Anolis sagrei: one gene and its partners. The protein of the gene in region 1 interacts with the protein of each later gene in a pairwise test. Links are inferred from orthologs where the notes say so. Each region holds a gene or a part of one and is shown on either strand. Other genes may lie near its edges.

Region 1 (3,752 bases):
TGTTTCGTAATTATTTTCACATGCCTGGTGCAAGTTTTATAGTTGTTGTTTGTTTTATCACACCAACAGTCAACAACAGAGGGAGAGGGAAGCTTTAGAAGTTCCCCCTGTCCCATTTGGAGGTTTTTTCAGCATATTTTTAGCATATTTGGAGGGTTTTTTTAGCATACTGCACAATCGCGTCCGCCATTAACGAATCGATTCAAAATTTATGAAATTTCGTATATTTCGAAATTTTTAAAAGGAAAATTTCGGAATTCTTTAAAGAAACGAAACGTGATGGACCCCTTAAAAATGAATCGAGTTTAGAAACAAATTTTTCCGTGGTTACCCAGCCCTACTCACAACAAAGGATTTTCCCAGGCTCAGCCAGGCCTTCAAATGCTAATGAAGGTGGTCAGTTGAAACATTCACACCTAGCTCCAGCAGAGAAAAGCTCTGTGCCCCACCCCAGCCATTCCACAGATATATAAACCCATTGTCCTACTTCCAACAGACCTCACTACCTCTGAGGATGCTTGCCATAGATGCAGACGAAACGTCAGGAGAAATGCCTCTAGAACATGGCCCTATAGCCCGAAAAAACCTACAAGAACCTAGTGATTCCAGCCATGAAAGCCTTCGACAATACATTGAGTTATCTGTGTCCACACTGCCATATATTCAAGCTTAAGGCAGAAAATGTGGGCTTTTATTTAGCTGTGTGTAAGGGGCCTTTATATTCTGGTTATATAGCTGTGTGGAGGGACTTTCTCCTACTCCCACTTCTAAAGAGGTGATACAGCATAGCCATGTGAGGAGAGGTCTGTAACAAATAGCTTGTACAGTATTATTACTTTCATGCAATTGTGCATTTTACTGCAGCACAGTACCTGATTAGAGAAGAGCTGCCCTTCACACTGGCTACAGCCATTTGGACACGATTTGGAAACGGAATTGCGACATATCACAACAAACAAAGGGATGCTTCCGCATCCGTGATGGAGAATACACTGGGCGAGAGAGCGCGCTGGGCCATAACGTCTTCCCTGCGCCGGAAGTGACGTCCTCACCCCGGAAGGAGTGCTTGGTCTTCTGGCCGGCTTCCGCTCGCTCTCGAGTCAACAAGGAGGCCTTCCACGGAGGGAGGCGTTGCTCGAGTAATTACTGACCTGCCTCTTTGTCAGCGGAGCATGTCGTGGGCGAGGGCCTTGCTGGAGCCCCGCGGCAGTGGCGAGGACGTCTTCGACGAAGAGGCGGACGAGCTGGACGTGGCTCAGAAGGAGTGGAAGAGCGCCATGGAGAGCCGCGTCAAAGTAATGGCGGGCAGCTGAGCGGCGAAGGCCTCGCCTGGCTTTGGGAGGCAAAACCAATGGGCTCCCCTTTCCTTCTCCTCCTCCTTCCAGTAGCAAAGAAGTTGTGTGTGTAATTTTGAACCATTGAGAACGGTCTCTACAGGCTGAGCCTCCCTTGTCCTGAATGTTTCCAAATCTAAACCTGTCTTCCAGGTGATTGAGACAGAGGGGCCTTCCACACTGCCATATAACCCAGAATAGCAAGGCAGAATAACCCACAATATCTGCTTTGAACTGGAAGATGAGCCCACACTGCCATATATCCCAGTTCCAAGCAGATTTCTTTATAGTGTCAGGGGCAACCAGACCATAATAATAATAATTACTATTATTATTATTATTATTAATTATTATTAAACTTTATTTGTACCCCGCTAGCATCTCCCACAGGACTCGATGCGGCTTACAAAGGCCAAGGCCTCAACACAACAATAGCAAAACAATAACAACACAATTTAAAGCAAATTAAAACATAAGCTGCATACTCTCACCCAACCTTTTTAACTTGTATGCAGAACACATAAAGTGATGTGCGGGGCTTGATGAATGCAAAGCTGGGGTGAAAATTGCTGGAAGAAACATTAACAACCTCAGTTATGCAGATGACACCACTCTGATGGCCTAACGCGAGGAGGAACTGAGGAGCCTTCTAATCAAGGTGAAAGAAGAAAGCGCAAAAGCTGGGTTGCAGCTAAACATCAAAAAAACCAAGATTATGGCAACAAGAATGATTGACAACTGGAAAATAGAGGGAGAAAATGTGGAGGCCATGACAGACTTTGTATTTCTAGGTGCAAATATTACTGCAGATGCAGACTGGGGGTGGTGACGGCCGACAGGGAGCTCTGGCGTGGGCTGGTCCATGAGGTCACGAAGAGTCGGAGACGACTGAACGAATGAACAACAACAACAAAAGCATCTCCCGAAGGACTCGATGCGGCTTACATAGGCCAAGGCCTCAAAACACAATACAACAATACAATACCTAAAGCAAATTAAAAACAGTTAAGCAGAACAAACAATAAACAATACATCGAAACACTATAAAACTGGGCCGGGCCAGAGTAATGGGTACAAGATTAAAAGTGCTGATGTGGCAGGAGGTATGTAGGATTATAAGTAAGTGCGGTGTGCAGTAATCTTAGTTCTACTAAAGTGCTTCTAGGACTTGGTATTGGAGGTTCCTAATCTGAGAAGGCACATCGGATCAGCCAGGTCTTCAAGTTCTTTCTGAAGACTGCCAGTGTAGGGGCCTGTCTAAGATCTCTTGGGAGGGTGTTCCAGAGTCGGGGGGCCACCACAGAAAAGGCCCTGTCTCGAGTCCCCACCTAGCGCACTTGCGACGCAGGCGGGATCACGAGCAGGGCCTCTCCAGATGACCGAAGTGAATGCGTGGGTTCGTAGACGGAGATGCGGTCACGCACATAGGGTGGTCCCAAACCGTTCAGGGCTTTGTAGGTAAGCACCTGCACCTTAAATTGGGCTCGGGAAATAAACGGCAGCCAGTGGAGCTCCTTGAACATGAGGGTTGACGTCTCTCTGTAATGAGCCCACAATATCTGCTTTGAACTGGAAGATGAGCTCACACTGCCATATATCCCAGTTCCAAGCAGATTTATTTATCGTGTCAGGGGCGACCAGGCCATTGTATTACATTTCTAACAGAACAAAACAAACAAACAGATAAAAAACACAAAGTTTGCAAGCTTGGTAGTTGGTTAAATGTCTTTTGACCAGTATCAGGCCACTTGGAGTGCCTCTGGTGTTGCCGCAAGAAGGTCCTCCACTGTGCATGTAGCAGGGCTCAAGTTGCATTGCAGCAGGTGGTCAGTGGTTGGCTCTTCTCCACACTCGCATGCTCCGAGCCCCAGGGGAGTGGCGGCATATAATTTCAAATAATAAATAAATAAAATAAAATATCGTGGATTCCACTTTGTGGCCCCATTTCTTAAGGTTGGCTCTGCATCTCTTGGTGCCAGAGCGCTGTCTGTTCAGCACATTCCAAGTTTCCCAGTCTTCTGTGTGCCCAAGGGGGAGTCTCTCATTTGGTATCAGCCATTGGTTAAGGTTCTGGGTTTGAGCCTGCCACTTTTGGACTCTTGCTTGCTGAGGTGTTCCAGCGAGTGTCTCTGTAGATCTTAGAAAACTATTTCTTGATTTAAGTCATGCTGGCTGATACCCAAACAAGAGATGAGCTGGAGATGTCACTGCCTTGGTCCTTTCACTATTGGCTGCTACTTCTCAGCAGATGTTAGGTGGTGCATTACCAGCTAAACAGTGTAATTTCTCCAGTGGTGTAGATAATGTGGGGGTTTTTATTTATTTGTTTGTGATTATTTATAGCCCGCCTTTCTCAGCCATACAGTGACTCAAGGCGGGTTACAGATCGGCACAATTCGGTGTCAGGCATTCATAAAA
Region 2 (3,752 bases), on another chromosome or scaffold:
AACAGGGCCACACAGCCTGTAAAACTCACAGCAACCCAATGATTCTGGCCATGGAAGCTTTTGATAACACAAGATATAAACTGCCATATAATCCAATTCAATGGAGATTTTATACAGCTATGTGGAAAGGGCCTCATCTACACTGCCATATAAAATCCAGGTTATCTGCTTTGAGCAGGATTGTATGGCAATGGAGACTCATATACCCCAGTGCAAAGCAGATAATGTGGATTATCTGTCTTGATCAGTGTTTCTCAACCTTCCCAATGCCGCAACTCTTTAATACAGTTCCTTATGTTGTGGTGACTCCCAACCATAACATTATTTCCAATTTTAACTCTACATTTGGCCTCCCCACTGTTTTTAATTATGTGTTGTTTTATTGATAATGTTGTGTATCTTACTGGCTATGTGTTTTTTAATTGATTGTATTGTTGTTATTATTGCTTGTATTGTTGCGTTTGGGCTTGGCCTCATGTAAGCTGCACCGAGTCCCTTGGGGAGATGGTAGCGGGGTACAAATAAAGTGTTGTTGTTGTTGTTGTTGTTGTTGTTATTATATTACTATTATTATTTTAGTTGCTACTTCATAACTGTAATTTTGCTAATATTATTAATTGTAATATAAATATCTGATATGCAAGATGTGTTTTCATTCACTGGACCAAATTTGGCACAAATACCCAAATATGAATACTATTGAGGTTGGGGTGGGTGGGTTATTTTGTCATTTGGGAGTTGTAGTTGCTGGGATTTATAGTTAACTTACAATCAAAGAGCATTCTGAACTCCACCAACGATTGAATTGAACCAAATGTGGCACACAGAACTCCCATGACCAACAGAAAATACTGGAAGGGTTTTGTGGGCACTGACCTTGAGTTTTGGAGTTGTAGTTCACCTACAAAAATAGAGGGAGAAAATGTGGAGGCTGTGACAGACTTTGTATTTCTAGGTGCAAAGATTACTGCAGATGCAGACAGTGGCCAGGAAATCAGAAGACGCTTACTTCTTGGGAGGAGAGCAATGTCCAGTCTCGATAAAATTTTAAAGAGTAGAGACATCACACTGGCAACAAAGATCCGCCTAGTCAAAGCCATGATATTCCCTGTAGTAGCCTACAGATGTGAGAGCTGGACCTTAGGGAAGGCTGAGCGAAGGAAGATAGATGCTTTTGAACTGTGGTGTTGGAGGAAAGTTCTGAGAGTGCCTTGTACTGCAAGAAGATCCAACCAGTCCATCCTCCAGGAAATAAAGCCCAACTGCTCATTGGAGGGAAGGATACTAGAGACAAAGTTGAAGTACTTTGGCCACATCATGAGGAGACAGCAAAGCCTAGAGAAGACAATTATGCTGGGGAAAGTGGAAGGTAAAAGGAAGAGGGGCCGACCAAGGGCAAAATGGATGGATGGCATCCTTGAAGTGACTGGACTGACCTTGAAGGAGCTGGGGGTGGTGACGGCCGACAGGGAGCTCTGGCGTGGGCTGGTCCATGAGGTCACGAAGAGTCGGAGACAACTGAACGAATGAACAACAACATGTTATTGTTATTATTTATTTTTGTTTATGAGATTTATTTTACTGTTTTGTATTGCTTATTTTGTTACTGCCTTCGTTTTATTGATGTACTGTGGGCTTGGCCTCATGTAAGCCGCACCGAGTCCCTTGGGGAGATGGTAGCGGGGTACAAATAAAGTTTTATTATTATTATATTATTATTATAACTGCAATTTTGCTAATATTATTAATTGTAATGTAAATATCTGATATGCAAGATGTGTTTTCATTCACTGGACCAAATTTGGCACAAATACTCAAATATGAATACTACTGGGGTTAGGGGGTATTGAGTTTGTCATTTGGGAGTTGTAGTTGCTGGGATTTATAGTTAACTTACAATCAAAGAGCATTCTGAACTCCACCAACGATGGAATTGAACCAAACGTGGCACACAGAACTCCCATGACCAACAGAAAAGGGTTTGGTGAGCACTGACCAACAGAAAATACTGGAAGGGTTTGGTGGGCACTGACCTTTAGTTTTGGAGTTGTAGTTCACCTACATCCAAAGAGCACTGTGGACTCAAACAATGACGGATCTGGACCAAACTTGGCACAGATACTCAATATGCCCAAATGTGAACACTGCTGGAGGTTGGGGGAAAATAGACCATGACTTTTGGGAGTTGTAGTTGCTGGGATTTATAGTTCATCTACAACCAAAGAGCAATCGGAACCCCATCAATAGAATTGGTCCAAACTTCTCACACAGAACCACCATGACCAACAGAAAATTCCTGATGGTGTTTGGCGACCCCTCTGACACCCCCCCCCCCTCGACCTCCCTCCCCCCCCCCCCGGGGTCCCGACCCTCAGGTTGAGAAACGCTGGTCTTGATTATCTTGGGACCTTCCTGTCAGGCTGTTTCGGCCCCACAAAAGGCCGGCGGAGAGGAGAGGATACGGCGAGGAGGGGGAGAAAGCGGCCCAGGCCCGGCGCCCCAGACCCTGCGGCAGGGCGCTCTCCGAGAGGCCCTTCCTGAGGCCTTCCCCTTCGCGGCCTCGGCGCCAGGCCTCCGCCGCCCGCTCGGAGCCGCTGGAGGGGTTGCTGCCGCTTCTGCCGCCGCCGCCGCCGGGCTCCATCCATCCACCCCGCTCAGCCCGCCGCCGCCGCCATCGCCCTCTCGAAGGCCTCGCTCTGTCTTCCCCGAAAGGGAACCTCAGAACCAGGCGCCATCGTAGCAACCCGCGACGCTACTTCCTTCGCAACGGTAACCAAGGGAGACGGCGCGCGCGACCGGCGATTGGATGGAGCTAATCCAAAATGGCCGCCGGGAAAAGGGGCGGGGCGACAAGGAGGGGGCGGGGCCCGGAAGGCAGCCTTTCAAAACAATCCTAAGGCACTGGGTTAGCTTGCGACTGGGGCCAGCCAAAGTGTTTCCTTTGGACTTCATTTCCCAGAATTCCTGACCATTCACCCAGGTGACTGAGGCTTCTGGGGGTTGAAGTCCAAAGAAAACCTTGACAGCTACAGTTTTAAAGCCATGGTGCTCATCCAGGTTTTTTTTAAAAGACTTCATTTCCCAGAATTCCTAAACATTCGCCAAAGGGACTGAGGCTTCTGGGAGTTGAAGTCCAAAAGGAATAGTTCCCTATTGGGTTGTTGTAGGTTTTTTCAGGCTGTATGGCCATGTTCTAGAGGCATTCTCTCCTGACGTTTCGCCTGCATCTATGGCAAACATCCTCAGAGGTTGTGAGGTCTGTTGGAAGTAGGAAAAAGAGTTTATATATCTGTGGAATGACCAGGGTGGGACAAAGGACTCTTGTCTGCTGGAGCTAGGTGTGAATGTTTCAACTGACCACCTTGATTAGCATTTGATGGCCTGGCAGTGCCTGGGGAAATCATTCCACAGATATATAAACCCTTTTTCCTAGTTCCAACAGACCTCACTACCTCTGAGGATGCTTGCCATAGATGCAGGCGAAACATCAGGAGAGAATGCCTCTAGAACATGGCCATATAGCTCGAAAAAACCTACAACAACCCAGTGATTCCGGCCATGAAAGCCTTCAACAATACAATAGTTCCCTATGTTTTGTCTTCCAGAGTTTTCAGTTCAACTTCCAAAAGCACCAGCCAATTTAGACAACTGCCAGGATTTATGGGAACTGAAAATATTGGAGACTTCTGGGAGTTAAAGTTCAAAATATATTATTATTATTAATAATAATAATAATAATAATAATAATAAAA
Region 3 (3,752 bases), on another chromosome or scaffold:
AAATTACAACTCCTATGATTCCCTAACATTGGGAATCATAGTAGTTAAAGTGGTATAAAACTGCATTAATTCTGCAATGAGTCTTTGGCTGGATTTACACTGCCCAATAATGCAGTCTCAGAATGCAGTTTAGTGCTTTTACTGCTTTTATATGGTCTGTACACTGCTTAGCCGGTATTGCACCACCTGACATCCACCGGGAAGTAGCAGCCAATAGTGAAAGGACCAAGGCAGAGACAGCTCCAGCTCATCCCCTGTTTGGGTATCAGCCAGCATGTCTACGACTTAAATCTAGACATAGTTTTCTAAGATCTACAGAGACACTCTCTGGAACACAGCAGCAAGCGAGAGTCCAAAAGTGGCAGGCTCAAACCCAGAATCTCAACAAATGGCTGATACCAAATGAGAGACTCCCCCCTGGGCACACAGAGGACTGGGCGACTTGGAAGGTGCTGAACAGACTGCGCTCTAGCACCACAAGATGCAGAGCCAACCTTCAGGAATGGGGCTACAAAGTGGAATCCTCGACATGCGAATGGGGAGAGGAGCAAACCACTGACCACCTGCAATGCAACCTGAGCCCAGCCACATGCACAATGGAGGACCTCCTTGCGGCAACACCAGAGGCACTCCAAGTGGCCAGATACTGGTCAAAGGAGATTTAATCAACTACCAAACTCACACATTTTGTATTTTGTCTGTTTGTTTGCTTTGTTCTGTTAGAAATGTAATATAATTGACTGGTTGCCCTGAAACGAGAAATAAAAAATAATAAATAAATAAATAAATAAATAAAATATGGTCTGTATTATATGTTAATGTTTTGAATTATATTTTATGTTGTTGGTGACATTGATTACCGATTGTAAACCGCCTCGAGTTGCCTTCGGGCTGAGAGAGGCTGTATATAAGTATGGTTGGTAAATAAATAAATAAATAAATAAATAAATAAATAAATAAATAAATAAATAGATGTATTGCACTGGATTATATGAGCCTACACACTCATATGCAGGTGATCTGCATTCTGAAACTGCTCTACAGGAACTTTGTAGAAGGCGCCACTTTCTTTTTTCACAGAGGACGCGCGCCCTCCAGTGGCATGTCTGCGGAACGACAGGAGAAAAAGATGCCGGGAGGGAATGAACTCACCGCGTTCTCCGGATTCCGGCCCTGACGTCACGAGGGGAAGCCGGCTCCTTCTACGGAGCATGCGTAGAACGGCCCTGCGGATTGATCCCTCCGGCGTGCCGTCCATCGTTCTGCGCATGATTGGGAGGACTGCTTGTGAGGAAGAGTTGCTCGGGAGCCGTCCAGCGGAGCCGTGATGGAAGAAGGCGGCCTTGAGCCGGATGCTTTCGACGCCATCGTCATGGCAGAGGCAAGGTACGTGGGCTCACCGTGGTTTCGGGCCTACTCTCTGGGCCTTTTGGATTTAACTTTCTCCTTCGCCTCTGTACTGGGAGAGAGAGAGAGAGAGAGAGAGAGAGGCCCCTTCCACACAGCTGAATAAAATCCCACATTATCTGCTTTGAACTGGGTTATATGGCAGTGTGGACTATGCCTTGATATTCTGGGTTATATAGCTGTGAGGAAGGGCCCAGAGAATCATAGAATCCTAGAGTTGGAAGAGACCTCATGGGCCATCCAGTCCAACCCCCTGCCAAGAAGCAGGAATATTGCATTCAAATCACCCCTGACAGATGGCCATCCAGCCTCTGCTTAAAAGCTTCCAAAGAAGGAGCCTCCACCACACTCCGGGGCAGAGAGTTCCACTGCTGAACAGCTCTCACAGTCAGGAAGTTCTTCCTCATGTTCAGATGGAATCTCCTTTCTTGTAGTTTGAAGCCATTGTTCTGCGTCCTAGTCTCCAGGGAAGCAGAAAACAAGCTTTCTCCCTCCTCCCTATGACTTCCTCTCATGTATTTATGCATGGCTATTGTGTCTCTTTATAGATTTCATGGCGAAGGCTACCAGGAAGGCTATGCTGAAGGACTTCATGCTGGTGTCATTGAAGGAAGGCAATATGGAGTGCAGCAAGGGGCTAACATTGGATTAGAAGTATGTACTGATCTTGTTTCAAGCGAGAGAGATATATTACTCTGTTAATTAAACACCTGCAGTTCTATAATTGACCTTATTGAAATTCTGTGGCAGTAAAAACACATTCATTTAATCCAAATTAAGCTTTGTGTAACTATTTATTTAAGATGTTTTTAAAAAGAAAATGTGACTTGAGCTGCTGTTATTAGAGAGGAAGTAATATTGTTAGTATTGGTAACATAAGAATAAAAATACCTCTTTTTCAAATATATAGATTGGGTCATATCTTGGTTTTGCAGTGACATGGAAGAAATTGCTTAATGCCAGTTCTGATGAAAAACACAGGTAGGTATGAAACTATACATTCATATTCTCTCTTTCTCTATCACTCACACACACACACACACACACACAATGAACCAGATAGGAATTTATTCACTTGTGGAGTGGGATTTTGAACCAGGGGATTAGTTCTAGTGATGTGGTAGAGCGTATTATTTGTATACATTCTTCACTCTTTTCTTGTTATTTCCTGTACTTTCACGAAACTTGGTGTGTGGGGTTAGGGAAATGCTGTAACTATAAGGAGGTTCACTCAAGAAACTTCAATCAGGAAAGAGAATGATAAGGGAGCAAGTAATATTTTCTCAGTTTATTTCAGATCTCCTTATCATAGGTTTATTCCTCAGATGTGTGATTTTTCTTTTGGATTAAGACAAAAAATACTTGTAGGGAGAGGCAGAGAATACCGGAAAAGGAAATAAAGGTGCAGTCAATCACAGCCTGAGAGTTACAGTCAAGATGGGGTGAAGAGGAATTAAAGAAGACAGCATTATTTACCGGGATTGTGGCGCAGCTGGCTGAGTGTCAGCTGCATTAAGATCACTCTGACCAAAAGGTCATGAGTTCGAAGCCAGCCCGGGCTGGAGTGGGTGTCCAGCCATTGTGTAGCCCGTTGTCGACCTTTGCAACCCGAAAGACAGTTGCATCTGTCAAGTAGGAAAAAAAGGGACCACCTTGTGTGGGAGGCTAAATTTAACTAATTTATGAGGCCATAAAGAAAGAAGACTCCGGGGAATGTGGAATGCGGAAGAACTTCATCGGTGTCGTTGATGGACGATGAAAAGCAGCAGCTCCCCTGGCGGCCAGAAAAAAAAAAAGTTAAATAGCCTTTGTCTGTTAAATGTTGTTTGTCAAACTGGCATTGAATGTTTGCCATATATGTGTTTACTGTAATCCGCCCTGAGTCCCCTGCGGGGTGAGAAGGGCGGAATATAAGAACTGTAAATAAATAAATAAAATAAATACTCTTCCTTGCATTTGGACTTAAGGCCTAAAAACGACAGCACTGGCTGCTGTGCCTGCTCAGTATTCTAAATCATACTATGTATTATGTCTAGACCTTTGGAAACATGGTATAGAAAACTTCACTTCTTAAATATTTTAAGAAAGCTCAGCAAAAATATTCAGTTGAATCATTGTAGATAATGCTTGCTTGAACTGATATCATTATTGCTGCAGGTGATTTTGGCTTCTTGAACAAGAGGATCTAAGTTAGGTTTTATAATGTAATAATAATAATAATAATAATAATAATAATACTTTATTTCTATATCGCCCTCTCTCTCCAGAGGGACTCAGGGCAATTTACACACAAAAAGCATACATTCACTGCCTCAAAATGGGTACAAACATCAAAATAATACAGA

The links.
Region 2: the proteins of YAE1 (region 1) and CEP126 interact in a two-hybrid assay, tested with the Homo sapiens proteins (2 studies listed by BioGRID and IntAct). The link is inferred for Anolis sagrei from reciprocal best matches to the Homo sapiens genes YAE1 and CEP126.
Region 3: the proteins of YAE1 (region 1) and LTO1 interact in binary tests that used the Homo sapiens proteins (3 or more experiments, as listed by UniProt). The link is inferred for Anolis sagrei from reciprocal best matches to the Homo sapiens genes YAE1 and LTO1.

Annotation. Positions count from the first base shown.
Region 1 is NC_090026.1:68,681,808-68,685,559, forward strand, and holds the start of YAE1 (protein YAE1 homolog), read left to right. Parts: upstream 1-1,053; 5' UTR 1,054-1,172; coding exon 1,173-1,295; intron 1,296-3,752. UniProt on the Homo sapiens protein: The complex LTO1:YAE1 functions as a target specific adapter that probably recruits apo-ABCE1 to the cytosolic iron-sulfur protein assembly (CIA) complex machinery. May be required for biogenesis of the large ribosomal subunit and initiation of translation.
Region 2 is NC_090023.1:22,939,393-22,943,144, reverse strand, and holds the start of CEP126 (centrosomal protein of 126 kDa), read right to left. Parts: upstream 2,812-3,752; 5' UTR 2,642-2,811; coding exon 2,463-2,641; intron 1-2,462. UniProt on the Homo sapiens protein: Participates in cytokinesis. Necessary for microtubules and mitotic spindle organization. Involved in primary cilium formation.
Region 3 is NC_090021.1:266,672,635-266,676,386, reverse strand, and holds the start of LTO1 (protein LTO1 homolog), read left to right. Parts: upstream 1-1,191; 5' UTR 1,192-1,327; coding exon 1,328-1,386; intron 1,387-1,955; coding exon 1,956-2,061; intron 2,062-2,317; coding exon 2,318-2,388; intron 2,389-3,752. UniProt on the Homo sapiens protein: The complex LTO1:YAE1 functions as a target specific adapter that probably recruits apo-ABCE1 to the cytosolic iron-sulfur protein assembly (CIA) complex machinery. May be required for biogenesis of the large ribosomal subunit and initiation of translation.